3 linked regions of the Diceros bicornis minor genome follow. The protein of the gene in region 1 purifies or fractionates together with the protein of each later gene. This does not show direct contact. Links are inferred from orthologs where the notes say so. Each region holds a gene or a part of one and is shown in the gene's direction. Other genes may lie near its edges.

What was found. The genes of interacting proteins can lie anywhere in the genome.
Region 2: the proteins of CAPZA2 (region 1) and CRACD purify together in Homo sapiens (affinity purification with mass spectrometry; 3 studies listed by BioGRID and IntAct, counting the BioPlex papers as one, with this or other methods). This does not show direct contact. The link is inferred for Diceros bicornis minor from reciprocal best matches to the Homo sapiens genes CAPZA2 and CRACD.
Region 3: the proteins of CAPZA2 (region 1) and WASHC5 purify together in Homo sapiens (affinity purification with mass spectrometry; 3 studies listed by BioGRID and IntAct, counting the BioPlex papers as one, with this or other methods). This does not show direct contact. The link is inferred for Diceros bicornis minor from reciprocal best matches to the Homo sapiens genes CAPZA2 and WASHC5.

Annotation. Positions count from the first base shown.
Region 1 is NC_080742.1:67,795,872-67,804,352, forward strand, and holds the start of CAPZA2 (F-actin-capping protein subunit alpha-2), read left to right. Parts: upstream 1-5,156; 5' UTR 5,157-5,270; coding exon 5,271-5,309; intron 5,310-5,468; exon of another isoform or gene 5,469-5,732; intron 5,733-8,481. UniProt on the Homo sapiens protein: F-actin-capping proteins bind in a Ca(2+)-independent manner to the fast growing ends of actin filaments (barbed end) thereby blocking the exchange of subunits at these ends.
Region 2 is NC_080747.1:43,716,386-43,723,801, forward strand, and holds the start of CRACD (capping protein-inhibiting regulator of actin dynamics), read left to right. Parts: upstream 1-3,936; 5' UTR 3,937-4,084; intron 4,085-7,416. UniProt on the Homo sapiens protein: Involved in epithelial cell integrity by acting on the maintenance of the actin cytoskeleton. Positively regulates the actin polymerization, by inhibiting the interaction of actin-capping proteins with actin.
Region 3 is NC_080760.1:40,395,968-40,404,055, reverse strand, and holds the start of WASHC5 (WASH complex subunit 5), read left to right. Parts: upstream 1-4,608; 5' UTR 4,609-4,744; intron 4,745-6,595; 5' UTR 6,596-6,669; intron 6,670-8,088. UniProt on the Homo sapiens protein: Acts as a component of the WASH core complex that functions as a nucleation-promoting factor (NPF) at the surface of endosomes, where it recruits and activates the Arp2/3 complex to induce actin polymerization, playing a key role in the fission of tubules that serve as transport intermediates during endosome sorting.

The DNA of each region.
Region 1 (8,481 bases):
TGAACAGATTCGGGTTGATGGTTACCCATGGGAAGAAGAAAAGGGAATGGGGTCTGGAAGGGGTAAACTATGCTTTTTTGTGTATCTGACATATTTTGTAATAATAATTCAAATAAGTAAATGGAAATAAGTAGAAGCTTTAGTATTTCCTTGCTTCACCATTAAGGATCACCTTGGGTGTTCGTCATGCCCTGTTCTTCATTTGGGACATTGTGTGAAAAAGCTGAAGTGACAGAGAAATTAAAGAGCACGAAATCAATTAGAGAGACAGATATTTAAGTGGTGATTGAATATAGAGTAGTAAACAGCAGGAGTATTTGTATGATTTGGGGGTTGCTGGGAAAAGTGTTTGCTCCCCGGTTCTGGAGTCCCAGAACCACATTTTAGGGCAATCTCTAAACCCCATATGGGTGGCTAGCTTAATTTTTCAGCTTCTGTTTAGGGATATGAAATGAAAGAGTCATTCAATCAATCTGGATTCCAGCAAAGCTTTTTAAAGCACTTATGTGCCAGTCTCTGTATTTGTCAGATAACTAACTGAAACTTAGGTCACATCCTCACAGAGCAGATTAGTATTATAATATGATGATTACAGCTAACATTTGTTGAGACCTTTGCCAAGGCCTGCAATGAGTTCTAAGCACTTTGTCTGCACCATGTCATTAAATCCTCACAACAGTCCTATGAGGGAGGTACCATTATTATCCCCAATGTATAGATGAAGAAACCGAAGTTTCCAGAGCAAGTTGCCCAAGTTACCTAGAGCTGGAACCAAGATCAAGACCCAGGACTTACTGATTATAAAATCTGTACACTTCACCACTAAGGTACGTGGCTAAAATACATGGAAAACTTTCTATGGGAATCTAGAAGAAGAAATTACTAGCTTTAACTAGAGGGTTCAATGCAGGTTGCGTGGAAAAAGGGATAACTGAACTGAATTTTAAAAAATAGGCAGCAAAGAACATTTCAGAAAGAGCTGCCACAGAGGCATGAGAGACGGTGATGCATAGGTAAGTTGCTTTGTGTGTTTCAGTGACATGTGCATTTGGGGCAGTGGCAGAGATGGGTTTTGATGAGGTTGGTAGCAACCAAATTATGAAGGACAGCATATTCAGGAGAGAGGAGTTACTGAAAAACAAGTTTCTTCAATAATTTCTTGGTAGTTGTAGAATGATCCATGTCAGGCTTCTCCAGGGGTGCCACTTTGTGGACCTTTTCAAATCCAGCTAAGGAAACAGACTACAGGTAGGACACACTCAACTACAAGTAACCAATAGTTTAGGCAATTATTTGATTTAGAAAAACAATTACTTTAAAAATATGCATGGTTTCTGACACTTTTTTACTGTCATAAAGAATATTATTTGAGACCTATTGTGTTCATTGATTATGAGACACTAACAAACAACAAAATATTAGTTGTCTAACACAGGTAGTTTTTCTTAGAAGTGAGGTAAGCCACACTTCAAACTACAGATATTAGTTTTCCAGTGCAGAGATTAAATGATATGGTGTTTTGGAAGTCTACATCTGGTGTAAACATTTAGTGGTCAGTCATATGTACTGAATATTTATCTTATTATACATTATATAATTAATATATATATGTATAAAATAATGGAAAGAACATGAATCTGACCATAGGGACACTTGGGTTCTAAAATAATATCAGCTAGATGTGCAATTTTTATCAAATCATTTAATTTATCTAAGGCTCAACTTACTTGTAAAATGAGGAGATTGTACTAGATGGACTCTAAGATTGTGATTCTATGAAATTAGGTACCTCTGACCTTGACAAGACTAAAATCTAGTTAAGGACATAGAGCACATCCATAGGAAAATAGATTAAGAAGTATACAAGTAACTTAAATACTACAAAAAGAAGAACTTTAAAAAAAAATCATTTTCTGGTGCAGTTAATTGGAAAAGCCAAGATTACATCACTAGTAAGCATAAGAAAGGTGAATTTGTGGGGCCGGCCTGGTGGCATAGTGGTTAAGTTCGAGCGTTCTTCTTCGGCGGCCCAGGTTTCACAAGTTCGGATCCCAGGTGCAGAACTACCCACCGCTTATCAAGCCATGCTGTGGCAGGCGTTCCACATATAAGTAACCAATAAAGTAGAGGAAGATGGGCACGGATGTTAGCCCAGAGCCAATCTTCCTCAGGAAAAAGAGGAGGATTGGCAACAGATGTTAGCTCAGTGTTAATCATCCTCACCACCCCACCCCCCAAAAATAGGTGAACTTGGGAATTAAATGAGAAAAGGGTAGAAATTCTCATTGAGGAGGTAGAGTTGTGTGTGAGAAGCATATTTTGTTTCTTTTCTCTTCATCATAAAACAACTGATTATCAAGAATACCAATACATTTCTAATTGCAGTCATATAATGGTCATTCCATATTTATACCCATTTCGCGTGACAGCTTGAAATCTTCCCAGAATTCCTAGGTTACGTGAATTCTATAATTTCTTTGAACTGTATCAAGAAAGTGGCATTGGGAGGTTTTTGAAATGATTATCAGAAATTATACAAAATTGCTAGTTGTGTCACCATGGGGAACCACATGTAAAGTATCACCAAGGTTACGATTATAAACATAGTCTGACTCAACTTACTGCAAACATACCATATTTGGGTGAGGTTTCTAGAAGAAGACAGCAGCCAATTAGTCAAGCAACAACATTTACTGAGTACCCACTGTGTACAAATTATTGATGTTCGTGTTGCTGAGTAAACAGAAATCAAAAAACAGAAGAAGAAAAAAAGGGAGTACTGTTGATGCAAGAGGTGGTGGTGAGTAGAACTGATGGGATGGAAGAGAAATCACCCTCATTAATTTTTTTTTTTTTTAATTTTTTTTCCCCCCCAAAGCCCCAGTAGATAGTTGTATGTCATAGCTGCACATCCTTCTAGTTGCTGTATGTGGGACGCAGCCTCAGCATGGCTGGAGAAGCGGTGTGTCAGTGCGCGCCCAGGATCCGAACCTGGGCCGCCAGCAGCGGAGCGCGTGCACTTAACCGCTAAGCCATGGGGCCGGCCCATCATTCAGTTTTATTTGGTGGGAGAGCGCCTAGAATTTAGATAGGGAGAAAGAAAGATCTCCAAGTAAAAAGGACAAGAGATATAGAATAAAATGCCTGGATTCCAATCTCTACTCAGTTAATTAGGAGCTGCGCAATCTTGGACAAATATTTAACCTCAGTTTGGCTCCTGTAAAATGGGTATAGTAATGCCGATAAATACCTTACTTCACGAGGTTGCAGTGAGAAATCAATGAAGTAATGACTTGTAAACTGTAAAAGAGTAAACAAGTTATTTATTTACATCCAGTGAGGTCCTTGGCCAAACTGTATGGTTTATTCTCTGTCACGTCTTCTCTGTACCATTTATCCTCAACAGGACACCTGCTTTTCCCTGCATGTGTCAGCAAGCTTCCCCTTTCTGTTGTCTCCCCAAATGGACTATGAGCTTTTCAATAGCATGGCTTCTGTTTGCATTCCATGCAGAAGAAACAATGATTTGCACACCATGAACACTCAGTAAATTACTTAATAACAGTGTTTTGCATATGAATAGTTATTTCAGCTCTCTAAGGTACTCTCACAAGTGTCATTTACATGCAGTTGTCAGATTCATCTTGCTAGACATATTTGTCACTGTTCAAAAGTTGTCAACAGCTTCTCATTTTCTACTGAATAAAGTCTTTTTTTAATATATATATATTTTTATTGAGATATAATTGACATATAATATTGTATTAGTTTTGGGTATACAACATAATGATTAAAGTCTTAACTTCTATCTAAACTCTAAGGCCTTGCTACTCAAAGTGTGGTCTCCAGACCAGTAGCATTGGCATCACCTGGGAGCTTGTAAATCTGATAAATGCAGATTCTCCAGCCCCATCCCAGACCTACTGAATCAGCAACTGCATTTTTTTGTGTGTGAGGAAGATCAGCCCTGAGCTAACATCCATGCCAATCCTCCTCTTTTTTTTGCTGAGGAAGACCGGCCCTGAGCTAACATCTATTGCCAATCCTCCTCCTTTTTTCTTTTTCCCCTTATTCTCCCCAAAGCCCTAGTAGATAGTTGTATGTCATAGTTGCACATCCTTCTAGTTGCTGTATGTGGGATGCCGCCTCAACGTGGCCAGAGAAGCAGTGCGTCGGTGCCCGCCCAGGATCCGAACCCAGGCCGCCAGTAGCAGAGCGCGAGCACTTAACCGTGAAGCCACGGCAGGCGCCAGCAACTGCATTTTAAAAATATTCCTAGCCAATTCATATATACAGTTTTGACTACATCTTCACTCTCTTGCTAAACTTGAAGCTTCAGAAGCTTTCAGATACAGCAAATAAAAGCAGTAGATATCCAATAAAAACTGAGAACAATGAATAATTTTTTAGTATCTCTCAAGTGCTTCATGGGACATACTTATACTTAAAATATATATTGTTTATTTGAAATTCAAATTTTACTGGACTTCCTGTATTTAATCTGTCAACCCTATTCAGAAGGGTAGGATCCATGTCTAACATAATTTTGTATTTCCCTGCAATCGTACTGTGCCTTCCCCAACTGCTCGATATATGTTTGTTTAAGGAATAGACAACCAGCTTAAGAACTGAGGTTTCTCCGGTTTTTGCTTAGCATTGTATATCTCCAGAGACACACAATAAATGACCAACAAATACTTCTCCAATGAATAAATGAATATACCCAGAACGATCTTCCAATTATGGACTGGGTTGGAGTGCATATTTTAATGAAAGCTGAATATTCTTCTAGTAATTTTTTTAAAACCAGAATGTTTAAAAAGCTTCTATTTGTACACTTTTTCACATTTTAGCTGGCAGAGTTCAGGACTTGATGGGAACATAATCAAGGGCTCAGAATGTACTCGTTGCCGACTGGGTCCATATGGTCACTGGTGGGGAAAGAATCCTATATTACTCAGGAGGATGACAGGCCTCCAGCAGGCTGCCGGAGGCGACTCCTCCGCCCTGCCCCCTCCCCACTCCCCCTCGCTCTGCCCCTTCTTCCTCCCCCGCCTCCGAGGCGCCCGCGCACGCGCACAGCCGCGCTCCAGCCCCGCGGGCCAGACGGAGGGAGGCGGGGCTCCCGGGGCGCGTGCGCGGCGGCCTGGGCTGTGGGCCCCTCCCTTGGCGGGGGCGCGCGGCGCGAAGGACTGCACGGAAAGGGGGAAGTCAGGTGGCCGGTGCCGCCGCCGCCGCCGCCGCCGCCGCGGTTTGTCGCCAGAAGGAAAATGGCGGATCTGGAGGAGCAGTTGTCTGATGAGGAGAAGGTAAGAGCCGCGGGGGCGGCGGAGCCCGTCGGTCCGGAAGCGAGCAGAGCCCTGGCGTATCAGCTCGGAATCTGGCCCCTGGGGAAGGGCATTGGTCTGTGCCCTCGCCCGCCTTTCCTCCTCCTCTCCTCGGTGCGCCCAAGTGCCTGCCCCCGTCAGTCACCCCAGGCCCCGCGCGGGGGCAGGTCTCTGCCCGGCCTGCTCGCTTCGCTCCTTGTAGGGTGTGTGCTCCGAAAATAGGAAGCGAGAGCGGGGCGGCGGCGCCTGGCGCGGCGGGCGGGGGCGGGGGGCGCCGAGGGCGGCGGCTGCGGGGACCCTCTGCCTCCGCCTGGGCCCCGGGGCGTTGCGCCCGCGTCTGGGGACTGCGGACGGGTTTGGGTCCCGGCCTGGGAGCGGCCCAAGGGCAGTGCCCAGCCCGACGGCCTGGCGGGCGAGTGTAGCCGGGGTGAGGGGTAGGGGGAAAAAATCGCTTAGGAAGCAGACCTTCACTTATCCCTTCTACTCCCTCCTCCCAGAAGCAAAATCCTTCCTTTCTTGGTTCTCTACGCTTTTTTTCCTTTCCCCGTGGAAGTCTCTCTCTCTCTCTCTTTTTTCCCTCTTTTCTTTTTTTCGGCTTTAGCTGTAGGCTTTGCAGTTCCCATGTTCCCCTGGAGGCAGTGGAGTTGCTCACAAAAGACCCCCCCCCCCCATAGTAGTTGTTTCCTGCTCAGGTTGGCATTTGGTGGCGTCCCATCGTCCTGCTGGGACTTCTTCCGAAGACGGGAGATTGTGCAACTCCTTTTTACTGTATCTTAGATGCTGTGACAGCATTAGAACCAGATGAACGACTTAAGTTCTTAAGTTTTCAGGCATTTAAAGCAAGAAATCTGATGATCGAACTAGTTCTCTTTAATTCGTCGTTTCCTTTGGCTACTGTGAGGCCCTATTCCATAGTGAGGGGGTGTAGACCCTACTAATTTTGAGTAGTTCCTGGAAGGGACCTTGACATTTCTCAGACTCAGAAGTAACTTATTCATAACTATCTATGAATAAGATAGTTTTGGAAGTGTCCGTTCTTAATTTAACAGTGTTCGTTTTTCGAAGTTCCAAAGCAGTACTGCCATGTATGGAGCACAAACACATCATAGTGTTTAAGAAATCCTAATGTAAGCCTAAGAATATTTTCAGTTGAAACTCTCTGCCCTAAGTGTTTTTATATCCTGTGTTCTTGCACTGGAGTGTAATGTTCAATCTCCTTCCCAATGTGATTGTGCAGCAATGAGCCTCGTCTCAGTTTTGGAAATCTTTTTTTTTTTCTTCTTCTTTTGCCCTTGCTTCTGGTGAAATTGATAATAAAACGACAAAATGGGGAGAGCAGCAAGATTCTCCATAATCCACAGCCCTGGTAGGCAGATCCCTGTATACACGAAAGTTACCTTGTAGCCTTGACATTGGTGAATAACCCTAGGTTGGTAACTGAAGATGTACGCAGGCTCGCACACGCGTATTTAAAATTAACTACTGCTAAAAAGTTTTTTAAAGAGATTGTCCTGTTATATTCTGCTGTTTTTAAGTGGTGGTTAGTAGCTCAAGTGGCTAGAAATCTAGCTGAGAAGAGAGTACTCAGTGTGGGAGTTAATATAGAGCTGCCATGTGTTGTAAAGGCCTAAAATAGCAAAGTTTTTTCAAAATGATATGGCAAGATTCCTTATCCAGCACTCTCAGGGCACTAAGCTCCATGAAGGTGGTAGTGCTGGGGGTGTCTTATTCTCTAAGCTTACCCAACACAGTGTTTTAAGAGTGAATAAATGAAAATTCTAATTTGAAAGAATTTGGTGTTTTTGTTTTTATTTATTTCAAGTTTTGTAAGACTATTCTGTAGATATTTTAAAGATAGATTTCATTGCTATATTTAGTAATTTAAGAAAAATACTGACCAAACTTTTGGGTTACATTCAAGTAACTGGTTAGGTGAAATTCTAATACTCTCATCACTTTAGTTATCTAAATGTACTTTTAATCTTTTGGGAGGAGGATGTTGGGTATGAAATCAGAAATAGGATTTAAAAGTGATATTTTTAAACTAATATTTGAATCATGTTACTCTTTCTGCCACCTTGTTTGTAATTTTCAAAAGTAAGCTTTTAATACTTCTACGCTCTTGGAATTTCCATTATTGGTTGCAGATCTAAGGAAGGGAAGCTGTTAAGACTTATGTAGTACCATACTTTGTATATGCCTGGCTCAGTTAGGCAATACATTTGTTAATTTATTGTGCGTTTGAGGTAGGTTTTATTATTACCATTTACAGGTAAGTAAAATAAGGTTTCAAAAGCTTAAAGTAATTCACCTGAGGACACCTAAGTAGGAAGTGGCAGAAGTGATATTTATTTATTTATTTTTTTGTGAGGAAGATCAACCCTGAGCTAACATCCATGCTAATCCTCCTCTTTTTGCTGAGGAAGACCGGCTCTGAGCTAACATCTATTGCCAATCCTCCTCCTTTTTTTTTCCCCCCTCCAAAGCCCCAGTAGATAGTTGTATGTCACAGTTGCACATCCTTCTGCTTGCTGTATGTGGGACGTGGCCTTAGCATGGCGGGAGAAGCGGTGTGTCGGTGTGGGCCCGGGATCCGAACCCCGGGCCGCCAGTAGCGGAGCGCTGAGCACCCAACCACTAAGCCACGGGGCCGGCCCCCAGAGGTGGTATTTAAACCTGAGTTTGAATCCAAAGTTGATGCTGTTGTGACATTACGCTCCCATAAACAGTTGATAATAGGACCCTCTTCTGGGTTTCTCTTTGTTTTTAATTTATTGACAGCTTATTTGAAAAAGGAAAAACAATATTTCTTTTTGTTTTTAAAAAAAATTTAAATACCAAACATCAAATCGTGTCGGGTTCTAAATTTAATTTGTGTTTTGATCATTTTAGAACAAAGGTTACTATTGTTTAACACATTTAAAAGTTTTATGCTACTGGTACAATGTCATATATGCCCTATGGTAAAGCATTTTAGAAATTAATCTAAAATAATATCTTTGCTTTTTAAAATCATGTACAATTGCTTTTTGAGGATACCACTATGAAATGTAATAACCTTTTCACCTTTGGCCGCTGGGTTAATAGGAAATAAATTATCTGAAGAAGCACAGTGATGTTCTTTAAAGTTATTCGTTTGCTGTGGTGTGTCCCA
Region 2 (7,416 bases), on another chromosome or scaffold:
ATAATGTATGTGCTTAGCACAGTGTCTAGCACAAACTAAGCATTCAGTGCCAGCTGATTATTTTAATTCTCATTATTATAATGTGAAGCAGTGACTTTTAAATTTTTTTTTTTGCACAGTAAGAGATGTTTTACATTGTCATCCAGTATACATTACAAATATGTTTAAGTTTTAAAGTAATTCATGAATCAATGTTTAGACTTCCCATGTGTAATGCATTCTTATATTTTTTATTCTATTTTATTTAGAAATGCTCGTTGAGATCCACTAAATGATTTCACATCCTATTAATGGGTCAGGACCTGCAGTTTGAAAAGCACTAATGTAAAGGATGATAGGATTAAGTGCATTAAAGAAAAATTTGTTATTGAATCTTTATATTATTCCTTCTAATGATTTACAACATCAGTTGGAGTTTGAATATTAAATTACATTGAAAATAGGTTCTTAAACATCTCTTAGTAATTACAGTCATTTAGTATTTATTATGGTCTAGGTACTGTGCTAAACAGTCTGTTTATATATGTTATCTAATTTAGTGCTCACAACAGCCTGTAATTTGGCCTTGTGTTTCCATTTGATAATTGAAGTTAAGACTCAAACAGGTTTTATTAACTTGCTCAATGTCATAAAGTTAGTGAGAGATGAAGCAAGAATTCAGACTGAGTTCTGTTTGACCCCAGATCTCTCTGCTCTCCCCCACACTCCGTTCTGATGTTCTCTCACAGTGATTTCTGAAGGTGTATCAGTTTTCTTTTACATAAATTTGAATGGCAATATTGAAAATTACCCATTGTAGTACATCTCCTGTAGTTTCCTTTCAGGACCCATTTAAAGAAAATTTTCAACTTAGTAAAGTAAGAAAGCATACTGAGTAGACTAGTAATTCATTTTGACTTTGGCTGATCTTTGATATAAATAGTTTGGAATAGCTTCTCAGGTTTTTATGATAGAGTCAATTAATTGGTTAGTTTTATTGAACATCCAAAGGTTTAATATAGCTTCAGAAGAGACATGAAATAGCTGTGTAACGATAAAAGGACTTCATTACAAATGAATGTCAGCTTTTGTTAAGGCACAAAATGAAGACTTAAGAGCTACAAAGAGTACTTAATAGTATATTGATTTGCCTCAGCATCACCAGGCAGTAAAAGTATTTATTTTGTAAACTACTTGTAAGAAACTACCACTAACTGTCCTGTTAATTTTTTTGTGTGTGTTTCAGTTTTTTGCAAATGTTTCTTAAATTTTTAGCAGTATTTTAACTTTAATTTTTTGGTACTTCTGGAACTTCCTTCCTTTTTTAAAAATATTATCAGAAAACCTTAAAGAGGGCTGGCCCCGTGGCTTAGTGGTTAAGTGCTCGCACTCCGATGCTGGCGGCCTGGGTTTGGATCCCAGGTGCGCACCGATGCACCGCTTCTCCGGCCATGCTGAGGCCGCGTCCCACATACAGCAACTAGAAGGATGTGCAACTATGACATACAACTATCTACTGGGGCTTTGGGGGAAAAATAAATAAATAAATTAAATTAAAAAAAAAAAGAAAGACAAAGAATATTTTAAGGAAATGCAGTTTATAAATGATACTTAGAATACACAAATAGATGATTTTAAATGACAATGGAAAGGCAAATTTCACTGTTTCTTTCACAATTATATCTTATAGATTCAGATCCTTTATTTGATCCTAGATTTGATTTGTGTATTGCTGTCGACATGTAGGAGTTACCTTATAAATAAGATGATTCCAGGTGCTTAAAGATATATAAATATGCTCCTGTGTTTGCATTATAGATAGCTTCTGTGTACATGGAGCTTTAAACTTTTAGCCGTAGGTTTAAACAGTTTATTTGTTGAATTAAGGTTAGTCTTTTCAAAAGTGATCATCTTAAAATCAGAGTTTATGTAGATCATGATATATTAGACAAAGAACAGCAGTTTCATGGTTTGTTTATGTAGTTTGTAAATCCATGTTTCTCTTCATCGGTCATTGTTTCCTATTAAGATTAGATGAACTTAAATATATTGTTTCATTTATTGTTTTTTTTTGTGTGTGTGTGAGGAAGACCGGCTCTGAGCTAATATCTATTGCCAATCCTCCTCCTTTTTTCTTTCCCCCAAAGCCCCAGTAGATAGTTGTATGTCATAGTTGCACATCCCTCTAGCTGCTGTATGTGGGACGCAGCCTCAGCATGGCCGGAGAAGCGGTACATTGGTGTGTGCCCGGGATCCGAACCCCGGGCCGCCAGTAGCGGAGCATGCGCACTTAACCGCTAAGCCACCGGGCTGGCCCTGTTTCATTTATTGTTGAATATCAGATTTCATCCTTAGGTTAGCCCTCAAAAAATTATTTTGCCCCTAATGAAATATGTACAAATGTAGTAAGCTTACTTTTTATGCTTATTTTATTAATTTATTTCTTTTGTCTAACACCTGACCCTTCATGAATTGGTATAGTTTTTGTAGCATCAATAAGCGTTCCAGCTATTAAATGGTCACTGTAATTTGTATGTTCAGGCAGATACTAACCTTGGTTACCATTACATTTTGTACTACTTTTATTGTTGATGTGAAAACTCTTAGAGATCAGAAGGGCAAAATCAATTGATATTTACTTGTGCTAGTGGCTTTGAGGCAGATACATATGCATATTTTAGGTTTACATATATGTATGATTTCTACAGATGTGTGAGAAGTGCAAGATTACAAACTCTTAATCCATAAATAAAAAAATTATCTTAAGTAACTGTGGAAATAAAAAAACTAAGTAAAAAACTTTGAGTTGTTGAGTGCCTTATAATTAGTCACGTTATCAGAAATATTTAAGAAGCCACATAGAACAACCGTATGTAATAGCTTTTATATTCCTGTAAGTTTGTATGTGGAAAGGTGATTCCATTTAAAATGTCAAAAATGAAAAGCAGAAATATTTTCAATCAACTTTTCAAATCTTAGGGGCTGGCCTGGTGGCACAGTGGTTAAGTTCGGCATGCTCTGCTTTGGCGGCCTGGGCTTACAGGTTCAGATCCCAGGTGTGGACCTGTACCACTTGTCAGGCCATGCTGTGGCAGCGACCCACATACAAAGTGGAGGAAAGACTGATGTTAGCTCAGTTAGCTCAGGGCCTATCTTCCTCACACACACACACACACAAATTTAAGTCTTCACCAGCTCTTCTGGATGTTTGTGGAATTTTTTCAGTTAATGTACTTTGAGACTTAAGTGGTATTTCAATAACCTTGCTTCTGAAATTGGTGCTATATTAAATATTAAGTGTTTGAAGAAAAGATACACAAAGTGCATCCCTGAAAGACTTTGGGAAATATTTAAATCAGAAGTAAGTACTCAGTTCAGTAGAGACAGGTGGTTAGAACAGAATTTAAGAGCAGGGGCCAGCCCAGTGGCGCAAGTGGTTAAGTGTGTGCACTCCGCTGCGGCGGCCCGGGGTTCGCCGGTTTGGATCCCGGGCACGCACTGACGCACTGCTTGTCAAGCCATGCTGTGGTGGCGTCCCATATAAAGTGGAGGAAGAGGGGCACGGATGTTGGCCCAGGGCCAGTCTTCTTCAGCAAAAAAAAAAGAGGATTGGCAGATGTTAGCACAGGGCTGATCTCCTCACACACACAAAAAAAGAATTTAAGAGCAAATAGTAGCTGCTAAGAGGAATTATTGCAGTAACAAGAAAGAAAGGACAACTTGCTGAAAAGGCGTTGGGCTTTTTATCAGGGAAGGTAGGAATAGCTCACCCAGGAGTCCACTGGCTTCAGCCCACTCACCTGGTGAGGGATTGGCTGGCACTAAGAGGGTGAAGGGGAGCAGGCAGGGAGGGGGAGCAACAGAGAAACTTGGTTATTATTTAAATCTAGGATAAGCTGGATTCAATAAATAATTTGTGAAAATTCTTGTATGTAATTTTTAACCCACAGTTTCCTCACTTGGGAGAAATAAAAAGTCCATGGTCCCAAGATCACTGTTTTTGGAAGAGGAAACATCAGAACCCCATTGTCAAAGCCATTTATCGTCTCAGGTGGGGCCACCGCTGATGTTCTTAGGGAGGTTTGTGACAGATTCAGCAGAGCTGGTAAGACACTGCTGATGAATTTCTTCATTTTGAAAAGTTCTCTTAATAAATTTAGAGTGATTTTTTTTCTCTATGAGAGTATCATTGTGACAGACCCAGTGGGCTTTCTTGGTACTGTTTATGATGCAGCTGCCTGGGCATGGTTGTGATGGGTTAACTGTTTTCTAGAGTTAATGAGGTCAGGGTCACAGGTTCAATTCCTGTGAAGGCCAGTTAGCTTTGCTTTGTTCTCTGATCTCATATTGTACTCTTAACCCAGACCAGCCATCTGGCGAAGGCAGATCATTGATCACAAAGGGACTAATAAGCAAGACAGTGTGTGAGGAGCAGCAGGAATCGTTCTCAGTGGATGTTGAGTAATTAGAGAAACAGTTCCAAAAGCATGTGCAAATTTGTGTTTCATAGCATTATCTTGATATGTGGAAGATAACATGATTGTCACATAATTTTCTTTGTCGTTTCTGTTGAACTCTCATTTTAACGGTTGTTTTTTCTAGCTATGAGTTTTCAGATGTCTCATTCATTCAGCAGTTACACATTGTCCTGAATGTTCTGAACTTCCCTCTAGGTGTGTAGGACAGCGACTGTGGTAGCGTGGTCAGGGTAAGTGTCTGAAAGTAGTAGATCACATCTCCTAACTCAGTTGTTTATAGACCCAACTCCACTGAATTACAAAATAAAAGTTAAAAAAAGCAAAACACCATTTTGAATGAGAATAAATAGACTGGCAAGATCTAGGGAAACACTGTATAGTTTTTCTAAGTACACTTTGATCTACAAATCTCTTATTCCCTTTATTAAAATTACTTATAATATCAGGAGAAATGTCAGAGATCATCTAGACGGTAGCCACTGGTCCCATGTGGCTATCGCCCAAATTGAGATGTGCTGTAAGTTTAAAATACACACTGGATTTCAAACACTTGGTATGAAAAAAGAATGTAAAATACACCAGTAATAATTTTTTAATATTGATTACATGTTGATACAATGTTTTAGCTATGTTAGATTGAGTAAAATGTTATTACAATTTTATGTTTCTTTTTACTTTTTTAAATGTGCCTACTAGAAAATTAAAAACTACATATGTGGCTTGCATTTATGGCTTGCAATATATTTCTATTGGGCAGCACTGTTCTAGAGCAAACCCTCATTTTACAGATGAGAAGACTAAGGTTCAGAGGTTAAGTAACTGAGCTGAGTTCTTTCCATTGCCTGTAATCTCTCCCTGCTAATAGGTTAGGTACTCAAGAAGATAGGAACTCTTTGAACCATTAGAGGACCATTTAGTGCACGGCAATTATCATTATGTTGCAAGATCTGTGCCGGAGTCATTGCATATTAGGTGTTATGTCAGTAGTGAGTGTGTGTGTGTGTGTGTGTGTGTGTGTATATACACACGTGCCCACATCTATAAGAGGGGGACTTTGTTTTGTTTGCTATGTTGATATTTAGGCTCAGTTTTACCTTCCTATATAGGTCAGAGGCCCTACAACTTTATTTAGTTCTGAGAAAAGCACATTAAAATATTAGACGTAAAATATTAGACGTTAACAGTTGTAACTATGAGATAAATAAGATATGATGCTCATTGAAGTGGGTACTTCAATATATATTTCTTATTACAGAGAAGGTTTCAGACAGTTTTGAATGAACCTTGATGGACAAAGCAGCAAGGTTTTCAGGCTGTATCCCTTTTGGAAGGAGGAGAACTGAAGTGAAGAGAGATTCTTAGCCTGTGTTGTGAAGAAAGAGCTTATTATGGGCTGTTACTTACTCTCTCTTAACCATGGATGCTCCTGACGTTCCAGTTGAGGAGGAAGTAGCCAGGATTGGCTGGCGCAAAAGCTGTGGCCCCAGAGTGTGGGCTTCCCGTCAGTTTTGTGAGCATAATGGTCTTTACTTGGCAAAGATATAAAAGAAGAAAACCTCAGGACGAAATTTGTCTTCTGTTATTTTTAGTTAAGATTTTTGTTTTCTTGATCAACATAGGCAGCTCAAATTAACATCTTAAAGATGTTTACTTTATGCAGCTTCGGATCTAGTCTTTCTTTTTGGCCCTCACGGAGTTCTAAGTCACTATCAGTTTGTTTTCAGTGACTCAGTGACAACTAGTGAACAATGACTTTGTCAGGCAACCTCTGACACTTCAATTAATCTCATCACCTGTACTAGCTAGTAATGTGCATGAATTTATCCTTTTAGTAGGGATAATGTGGAGGTTGAAAGAAGATATGTAATTACTTCCACAATGGTGGCTTATAAAAATATTTCCAGATTATCATTTTTCTATGCTTTTTGTCTGTTACAAACAACCAGTGTTGATCCTGGGTACAGAGAAACAAAGCAAGATAGCAATCTCTGAATGGTCACCTTCGAGTAGACCAAAATAAGTACCTCTGTCCTGTGGTGTGAAGTTTAATGGAAAGTGCCGTGACCATCCACATCCCATCCAGCCTGAGTCATCATAAACCCAGTTTATCTCATGTCAGCAGGCATGTATTGAGTACACACCGCGTGCTGGGCACTGTGGGCATAGCATGAAAATAATGAAGGCTGGGGGAGTACAGATCACTTGAATGGCAAAGTATTCATCACTTTTGTTGTAGTTTCTAGTTTGAGAAAAGAATGTGGCATTTTTACATTGTTGCAGAATGACTGCATTATGATTTATGTTCTACAGTTCACTAGCTGATTCCATGTACTGTCGTGTTTCATGTCGTGTCCCATTTCTAGCAGTAACTGATTTTTTCCTTGGGGTCATTGGGGCAGGCAGTTGGGATACGGGGAGGCTTGTGGTCACCTGGGGAATCACTGAACATGGGAGGGTGGCACATGTCTTCTGTATGCTCTCCTTTTGCCCTGCTCCAGCTCTTTATACCAGGCACTGTGAAGTTGCTGGTGAATATAAAAATGAAGAACTCACAGTCTAGTGAAGAAGAAAGACAAGGCAGAATGTCAAGTATGCTATGATAGGTCAGCGTGCTATGGGAACTCAGAGGAAGGAGTGATTATTCTGGAGAAGAATGACAGAATGAGGAAAGATAAGGAGGAAACTCACAGAGGACGTATTTGAGCCGAATCTTAAAGGATGGGTGGTTGGAGAGGGGATCCCAGAAGTAGGGAACAGAGTGAGCAAAGGTATGGCAAGCATGAAAGCTGGTGTCCTGAGGAGGCAGGAGCGTTGGGCATGGAAGGGAGTGGCAGGAGACAAGACTAGAAAAGTGGGTCAGGTAAAGTTCGGAGAGATTTGAGAAAAGAGTACTGACATTTTTAAGGCAATGGGGAGCTATCAAAAGCAAGGAGTGGCATACTTGCATCTGCTTTGGAAA
Region 3 (8,088 bases), on another chromosome or scaffold:
ATACATATTGAATTCTGAAAACTAAAAAATATTTATTCCTGACAATTCCTCTGGGTTCTAATAGATTACAGACTTGGTGAGATCCCCGATTCTGTTTCAGTAAAAGCAGAATTTCTCTATAAACTCTTATCTTCTGATATCTGATCCACTATAACAGTTTCAGTTCTTATCTTCATATTAAACACTCCCTAATCTATACCTTCAACCACCAATTCTTTAACCTTTGGACTACTTATGGAAAGCTGTCTACAGATGTCTTTGCCTAATTCAGAAACCACCTGAAATTCAATCCACTGAAACCAACTAGAAAAGTGGAGAGAATTTATACAGGCTTAGAGGGATGGGAAAGCTGTATGGTAGCAGAAAGAAGGTATTTTCTTAGAATCATATAGACAGAGCACGAATTCAGGCTCTGTCACTTTACTACTGAGTGACCATGGGCTGATTGCATAAACCTCTCTGAACCTCAGGTTTACTGTCTCTAAAATGAGAAGGAATATCACAATGTGGTCCAGCACACAGTACACAATTAATTAGCATGGACTTGCCCTCCTGCCCTTCCTTTCTAACATGGGAAACTGTCTAGTATCTCTGGCATTTCCATCCTCTCCATTGCCACCACTTTTATCTCACACCTGGAGTACTACAGTAGTTTCTTAACTATTGGCCCTTTTCAATTAGATTCATTCATTCATTCATTCAACAAATAGGTATTGAGTGCCTTACCATGTCAATCATTAGACTCTAAAAAAGACACAGGGTATACAAAGGGAAGGGCATAGAAAAGATGCCCATGATGCTGATCTCTATTTTTGAGGTTTTAGTCTATTACAAACATCCACAATACAACTCTTCTTCAATTCAAATCATTCAGTTAACAAATATTCAGTAAGTAATGTTTTGGAGCATAACGTAGAGGGTCTTAAGTGCAGGATAAAGAATCGGTCCAGTTGGGTCCAGGGGGGCAGTCAATGGGACTTTTAGCTTTATCTGTTTTTTAAAAATTTATCTTAAAAATCAAGAACTGAAACAAACATGGCAAAATGTTATAGATATTAAAATCCGGATGATAGAACAGGGTTCTCATTATGTTATTTTCTGGGACCTTCTGTGATGTTAAAATTCCACACCAAAAGAGAGAGAAAAAATATGACTATGAATACAAATGAGAAACCATTGATGATTTTTGAACATCTGCATTTTGGTGAAAGAGTATTTATTTACAGTCTCACATTATTACACCAAACAAGCTGAGACAGTTAACACAATATAAATACAAATATATGCAGTAAGATGGGAAATATATAATATAAATGCATGAAAATCAGGATGGAAAACAAACTAAAGGGGAAAACAGGTAAAGAAGAAAATTTTTACTACATGTGTAATACAAATTTGGCTATGAGCTTCCTGACAATCAAAGCAAAAAGTGAAAGCTACAGAATCCTCTTTCCCCATAAAGAAAAAGTACATCAGGAACTTGGGAAAAATAAGGCTTTCCATGGCAATCAAGGCAGTGTGGACCATCATATATAAGACAATAAAACTCATACTGAAAAATATTCTCAATAATATCCTTACAATAAATGCAACAGTGAGCTTCCTAGGACTGTTTCTTAGGTTATTCCTCAGGGTAAGCTAAAGACAGGACACTTGGGGTAGATACCAGCTCGGTGCCCACCAAACCCATTTCCTCTTCAATCTGGTTATACAGCTAGACCACAGTTTGCAGCCTTCCTTGCAGTTAGCTATGGCCATATGACTGAATTCAAGGCAATGAAATATGAGCCATTTCCAGGCCCAGTCTATATAAACTTTCTCCACACTCTTTCCCATTTGATAGCTTGAACAGGCAAGCACAGTGACCTTAGATGCTCTATACTGAAGATGGAGAATCCCTAGTTCCTATATCACTGCTTGGCGGAAAACTGCCCGCCAATCAGGCTCCACGCATGAAAGAAATAAAAACTTCAATTGTGCAAAGCCGTTTAGGTTTTGGGGCTTACCTGTTACAGCACCAACTGTTACTCAAAAAAACACAATCCTGCAAGAATCAAATCATATGGTTCAAGTATTCAGTTTTCTAGTCAGTCTTGATTCCAGTTTAAGTCTAAATTGTCTAGGGCACTAGACACGTGGTTATCATGACTGAGGAACTGAGTTTTAAATTTTATTTAATTTTAACCAATTTAAATCTGAATAGCCACATGTGCCTAGTGGCTACTGCACTAGTCAGCACGGTTCTAGAGACACAATTATCCAAGTATACCATATATATGAACCATGGGGTAAGCAAGAAGGGGCAAAGCCACAGAATAAACAGGATATGTTTCCTGGAATATCAATTTTACCTAAAGATAACATGAACCATCATTAGCTACATTACAGAGCAGAATATGAAGGCAATACAGAGTAGGGGTTAAACACCCAGCCTCTGAAGCCAGAGTACCCGAGTTCAAAGCCTGATTTTGCCACTTAAGTAGCTGAAAGACTTTAGGCAAATTATCTAACCTCTCAACGCTTCACTTCTCCCTTCTGTAAAAGGAGGATGATCCAGTGGCTACCACAAGGATTACTGTGAGGATTGAATGAGTTAATATAGATAACAACACACTAAGAACAACGCCCAGCACATAAATCTCATCTTGTGTCTCTGATTGTGTCTCTCCCCAAGCTGACTAAGACACAACGTACACAAGGATTAATACAATCTGGGATAAATGGAAAGTGTCTACCACATGGTAGCTATCCTTATTATCTGAATTCATAATTCACATTACTCCAATGAAACTTTATACTTGCAGAGAGCTAGGGAACACACGGTCACTGCCTTCTGTGAGTATATCAACGGAAACGATTCAGATAAGAAGCAAAGAGAATGGATGGGGCACAAAGATGGAGTAGACACACTTTTCCCTATTTCTCCCACAAAGTACAGCTAAGTACATAAGTCACAGGACAGCCCTCACAACAAAGAATTATGTGGTCCGAAATATCAATAGTGCAGTAGTTGAGAAACTCTGGTTTAAATCAGCCTCCTCTTGGAGCCTTCCCAGGTGGCAATCAATGATCTTTTTGTTCCCTGTACCTATGGTCTCCAACAAAGTTTAAAACAAGGTTATGCATTTCCCCAGTTTTTCCCTAGCATGTTATTTTGCCTCCCGTAAACAGGCCTTGCCTTATGCCATCCAGGCTGCAGTAATAAAATACCACAGTCTGGGTGGCTTTTAAACAACAGAAATCTGTTTCTCACAGATCTAAAGGCTATAAGTCCAAGATCAAGGCATGGGTTCACAGCCCATGCCTTCTGCTCTTTGCCTTCACTTGGTAGAAGGATCAAGGGAGCTCTCTGCAGCCTCTTTCATAAAAGCACTAATCCCATTCCCAAGAGCTCAACCCTCATGACCTAAGCACCTCCCAAAGGCCCCGCCTCCTAATACCATCACACTGGCATTAGGATTCAACATCTGAATTGGAGGCGCACACACATTCAGACCATAGCAGGTCTATAAGATTCTCTGCAGGCAGGACCCATTATTGGCTAATACCATTTCTTCTCTACTGTTCCCTCCTCTTCTCTGTCTGTACAGCACAGTGGTAGGCACAGAGCAACCAATTTATAGGCACTATGCCCACCTCCTTGGTGGGCATGGGAGTCCGTACAAGTTCAGCCAGAGCTGTAGCTCCTTTTTCAAGATGCAGGAACACATGTTTCTTGATGAAGCCTTCCCTTATCTATATAAGCAATTGCTTGTTCCCTCCCTTATGCTGCCACTATTCCTCTCTCCCTCTCTCTCTCCTTCTCTCTCACGCACACACTTCTATTAAAAAACTCAATAAAACTCATCACAACTCTTTGCTCACATGTCTGCCACTCCTTCACCCTGGGAGCAACTTAAACTAGAACTCGGACATATTCTACAGCATTTGAAACAGCTCCTGACACAAAATAGACGATCAGTCAAGATCTGGCCAGAGTCACAACAATAACAGCAACCACCATTTCCAGATCTCCCACGGTGTGCCATAAACCGGTGCCCCCGGGCTTCATTCTCATTGTCGCTAATCCTCACAGCCATTTACATACGAGAAAAGGAAACGGAGGCCCAGAGAGTTTATTTAAACGACACGCCCAAGGCCCTGCTTTTAAAGACAGTCCAAACCAGATTTATTTGGATCAAGAATTCGTCATCTTTTCCCCACACGTTTAGGGCTGAAGGATGGGCAGATGGCGTCTCGGAGAGGGAGGTGAACTGTCCCAGCCTCACTGCTCTGGCGTGAAAAGAACCAGGACCATAACCCAGGTCGACAGACCCCAGGTCAAGGCACCCGCGGAGCGCCCGAGAGGGAGGCGACACCTCCCGCCGCCCTCCCCATCGCCAGCCCCCGCCTCTGCCTTACCTGGCTGCCCGACCTAGCTCCGTCTGGCTGCACCCCGACTCCCCACACCCGGACCCCCACTCCTTCCTTAACTCCCTGCCCCGTCGCTGAAACTGCGAGCGCGGGCTCCGACGTCATCAGCCGTTGCCCGCGAGTGGTCACATGACACCCCGCTCTGCTCTCCTCCCCTGTGGTCATGTGATGGCCCCGGGAGCCAGGGGCGGAAGCCGGGTTCTGGCCGGCTTGCGATCCGGGGCTGGAGGTAGAAGACCCCAGCGGAGAGGGAAGGGTCGGGGACTCCGGCGCTGACTCCGCGCACGATCGCCGGCCCCGCGCGTGCGCCCTGGCGCGGCCCGGGTGACAGGTGAGTCCGGGCGGGGCGCGCGTGCCCCCTCCTTTCACGGCCCCCCTCCCCTCCCCCGTCCCGGGGCTGGGCCGCGCTGGTCCCGCGGGCATCTGCGCGTGGAGTGGGGTCTGGATGGGGGAGCCTGGCGTGGAGGACTGAGGGGCTTCCTGGGGCTGGGGCTGCAGCCCAGCCTCTTCATCTCCACTTAGATGGAAATAATTTTCCACGCCGCTGTGGCGCTTTAGGAAGTGATGTTCAGCTGCTTGACCCGCATCTGAGCCTTCCAAGTTTTCGGAAGCAATGCTGTGTGGACGTCGTTATTCCTCTCTTTACTCGCGAGAAATCGGAGTGGTTAGTGAGCGCTTTTACAGTGTGAGGGACCTGGGTTTGAATTCTAGTTCTGCCATGGGCTGTGAGTTTAGGCAAGTCATTGCTCCTCTCTGCACCTTAATTCCCCCACCTGTGACATGCTGGTGCCAAAGTCCTTTGCATTTCGAAAAAACGTTCCGAGGGTCCAGATTTCACTATGGTCTCACAGTAAAAAGAAAAAAAACACACCTCACAGAGGCCATAATGGAATAGGGTCTCCTGATTCCAAGTGCAGGGAGCTCCCTCCAATGTAGGTAACGGGGGTGAGGGGGTGGGAGAGAGCGGTTTTACTGCCTCTGCCCCCAACAAGGACACTTTCCGGTTTTTCTTCTGTTTTTCCTCATGAATCAGCTGATAGTGATCAGACTCATTTCAGAACTTTTCTGGAAAAGATATGTTGGTCACTTTTATCTTGATCAACAATCATCATATTTTGTTCCTGATAATGGATTTGTGGAGGCCAGTGCTTCCTTCTTTATGGAACTGAGGTTTTATGAAAGGATAAAAATAGACCTATCTTCTTTTGACCTCTGAGTAGGGTAAACAGTGCTTTGTCCTAGGACAACTTATTTCCTTCAGAATTTGGTTCTGTACTCATTGGGTAATTGGTGTGATGATCCCGTGCTGCATTCTTTTTTTTCTTTTTTTTCTTTTTTGTGAGGAAGATCAGCCCTGAGCTAACATCCATGCTAATCCTCCACTTTTTGCTGAGGAAGACTGGCTCTGAGCTAACATTTATTGCCAATCCTCCTCCTTTTTATCCCCAAAGCCCCAGTAGATAGTTGTATGTCATAGTTGCACATCCTTCTAGTTGCTGTATGTGGGATGCGGCCTCAGCATGGCCAGGGAAGCCGTGCGTCCGTGCGCGCCTGGGATCCCAACCCCCGGCCACCAGTAGCGGAGCACGCGCACTTAACCACTAAGCCACTGCCGGGTGCTTCATTCTTGAAAGCATATTGTCCTTTGTCCAGGATTACTTTCCAAACTGAAAACTACAATTCCTTACCAAATTCTTGAAAATAAAGTTATGACCACCTTTCTGGGTACCTTGTAAAAGAAAATTAGGAAATTGAGTTTGGTCTCTGGCTTCATTTTATGCCAAATAGTGATACAGTCTATACTGAGAAAATTGGTCTTTATGAATTTTCTTCGTCCCTAGCACCAAGAGAACCTCTAAGAGGAAGATTTAATATAGCTTCTTCTACAGTGTTTATTTGCACCTCATTTTAGAGTGATTTTTTTAAAGCTCAGCTAAGTCTTAACACCTTCTATGAAGCCACCTACCTCTGAGAGGGCTGCAACATGATTAGGCATCTCTAATGATGGTTCTTAGATTTTGTTCTTTAGGGCCAGTTTTTCAGCCAACAGTGGGGCTGTTTACCAAATACTCTAGTCAGATAATATTTTGGAAGTTGCCTACAATGTAACTCTGGAGTAAGGATTTAAGGATTAAACTAAGAGATGGATACACCAAAGTCTTGACTAATGTCATTATCTCAGGTCTAAGCTTCCCTGACCGTGTGTATGCAGATGCTGAGTACATCTGTCCATCTGTTTGTTGGGAAAGAAAGCAGGTAATGTTGCTTTGCTTTGAGCTGTTTTCTCCATGGCCTCATTGTCTGTCCTATACTGGTGTCCAAAATCTGGTAGCAGTTAGACCTGTTAATCATACCTTACCCTCCTCTCAATTGAGTCTAGGGTTTCATCCCGCTGAGACCTGGGTTGGTTTAGTATTCTTCAGAGGACCTCAGTAGGTGACTCTTTTGCCCATTGTTTATTATTTTTCCCCTTTTCCTCTCTCATTTTCCAAGCCAGACCATATTAGTGCAAAAAAAATGGTATGAAATTATCTGAAATTTAGCCTGTTAGAGATCAATGTGGCTTAACAAGCAAGCATCACAGAGAAAACTAAAAAGAATTGTTAATATTTTATGCCTTAATGTGTCTTATAGGATACCCTCATGAGAGAGAGTTCTAGACAACTGTAGTGGCTTCTCAGTCACAATCAGACCCAACCCCATCCACCTTCCCTGATCTCTGCTTCTATCCCTTGCTCACTCTACAGCAGCCATATCAGCCTCTTTGCTATTCCTTAAGTGCATCTGGCACATGTCGGCCTTTGCACTTACTTGTAACCTCTGCCTGGAATGCCTTTCTCCAAGATCATTATCTATTGTAAAATAACAAACTACCCCAAAACCTAGTGGCTTAATAAACATCTATTATCTTATAGTTTCTGTGGTTAGAAATCAGGGGTATAGCTTAGCTAGGTGCCTTTGGCTCAGGGTCTCTTGAGAGGTTGCAGTCAAGCTGTGAACAGGAGCTGTTCTCTTATCTGAAATCTCAACTGAGGTTTTGGGGATCCATTTTCAAGCTTACTCCAGTGGTTGTTGGCAAGCTTCTCCATCCCTTATCACATGGGCTCCTCCATGGCTCTCTCACAATGTGACAACTTGCTTCCCCCACGACAAACAAGCTAGAGAGGGTGGCCAAGCCAGAAGTCAGTCTTTTTGCAATCTAATCTCAGAGGTGATATCTTTCACATTTGCCGTATTCTGTTCTTTAGAAGGGAGTCAGTAAGTCACACTTAGGGAAGGGGCCTACACAGGGCGTGAATAAGGAGGTGGCAGTCATTGGGGACCGTCTTAGAGGCTACTGACCACACTCAGATACCCTTACTGCTTTCTCCCTCACTTCCTTCTGGTCCCTGCTCAAATATCTTAACAGCAAGGCTTGCACAAACTACTCTATGTAAAATAGCACACACTCCATCCCTTTTTCCTGCTTTTTCTTCACAGCAATTATCACAGCCTGATATATAATATATTTATTATCTCTTTCCCACTCTGAAAAGTGTGTAGGCTTCATGAGAGCAGAAACTTTAGTTTTGTTCACTCTCATATCCTCAGGTCCTAAAACAGCACTTGGCACATAGTAGGCATTGGGTAGATATTTGTTGAATGAATGAATCTGTATCATTTGGATGCTTTCAC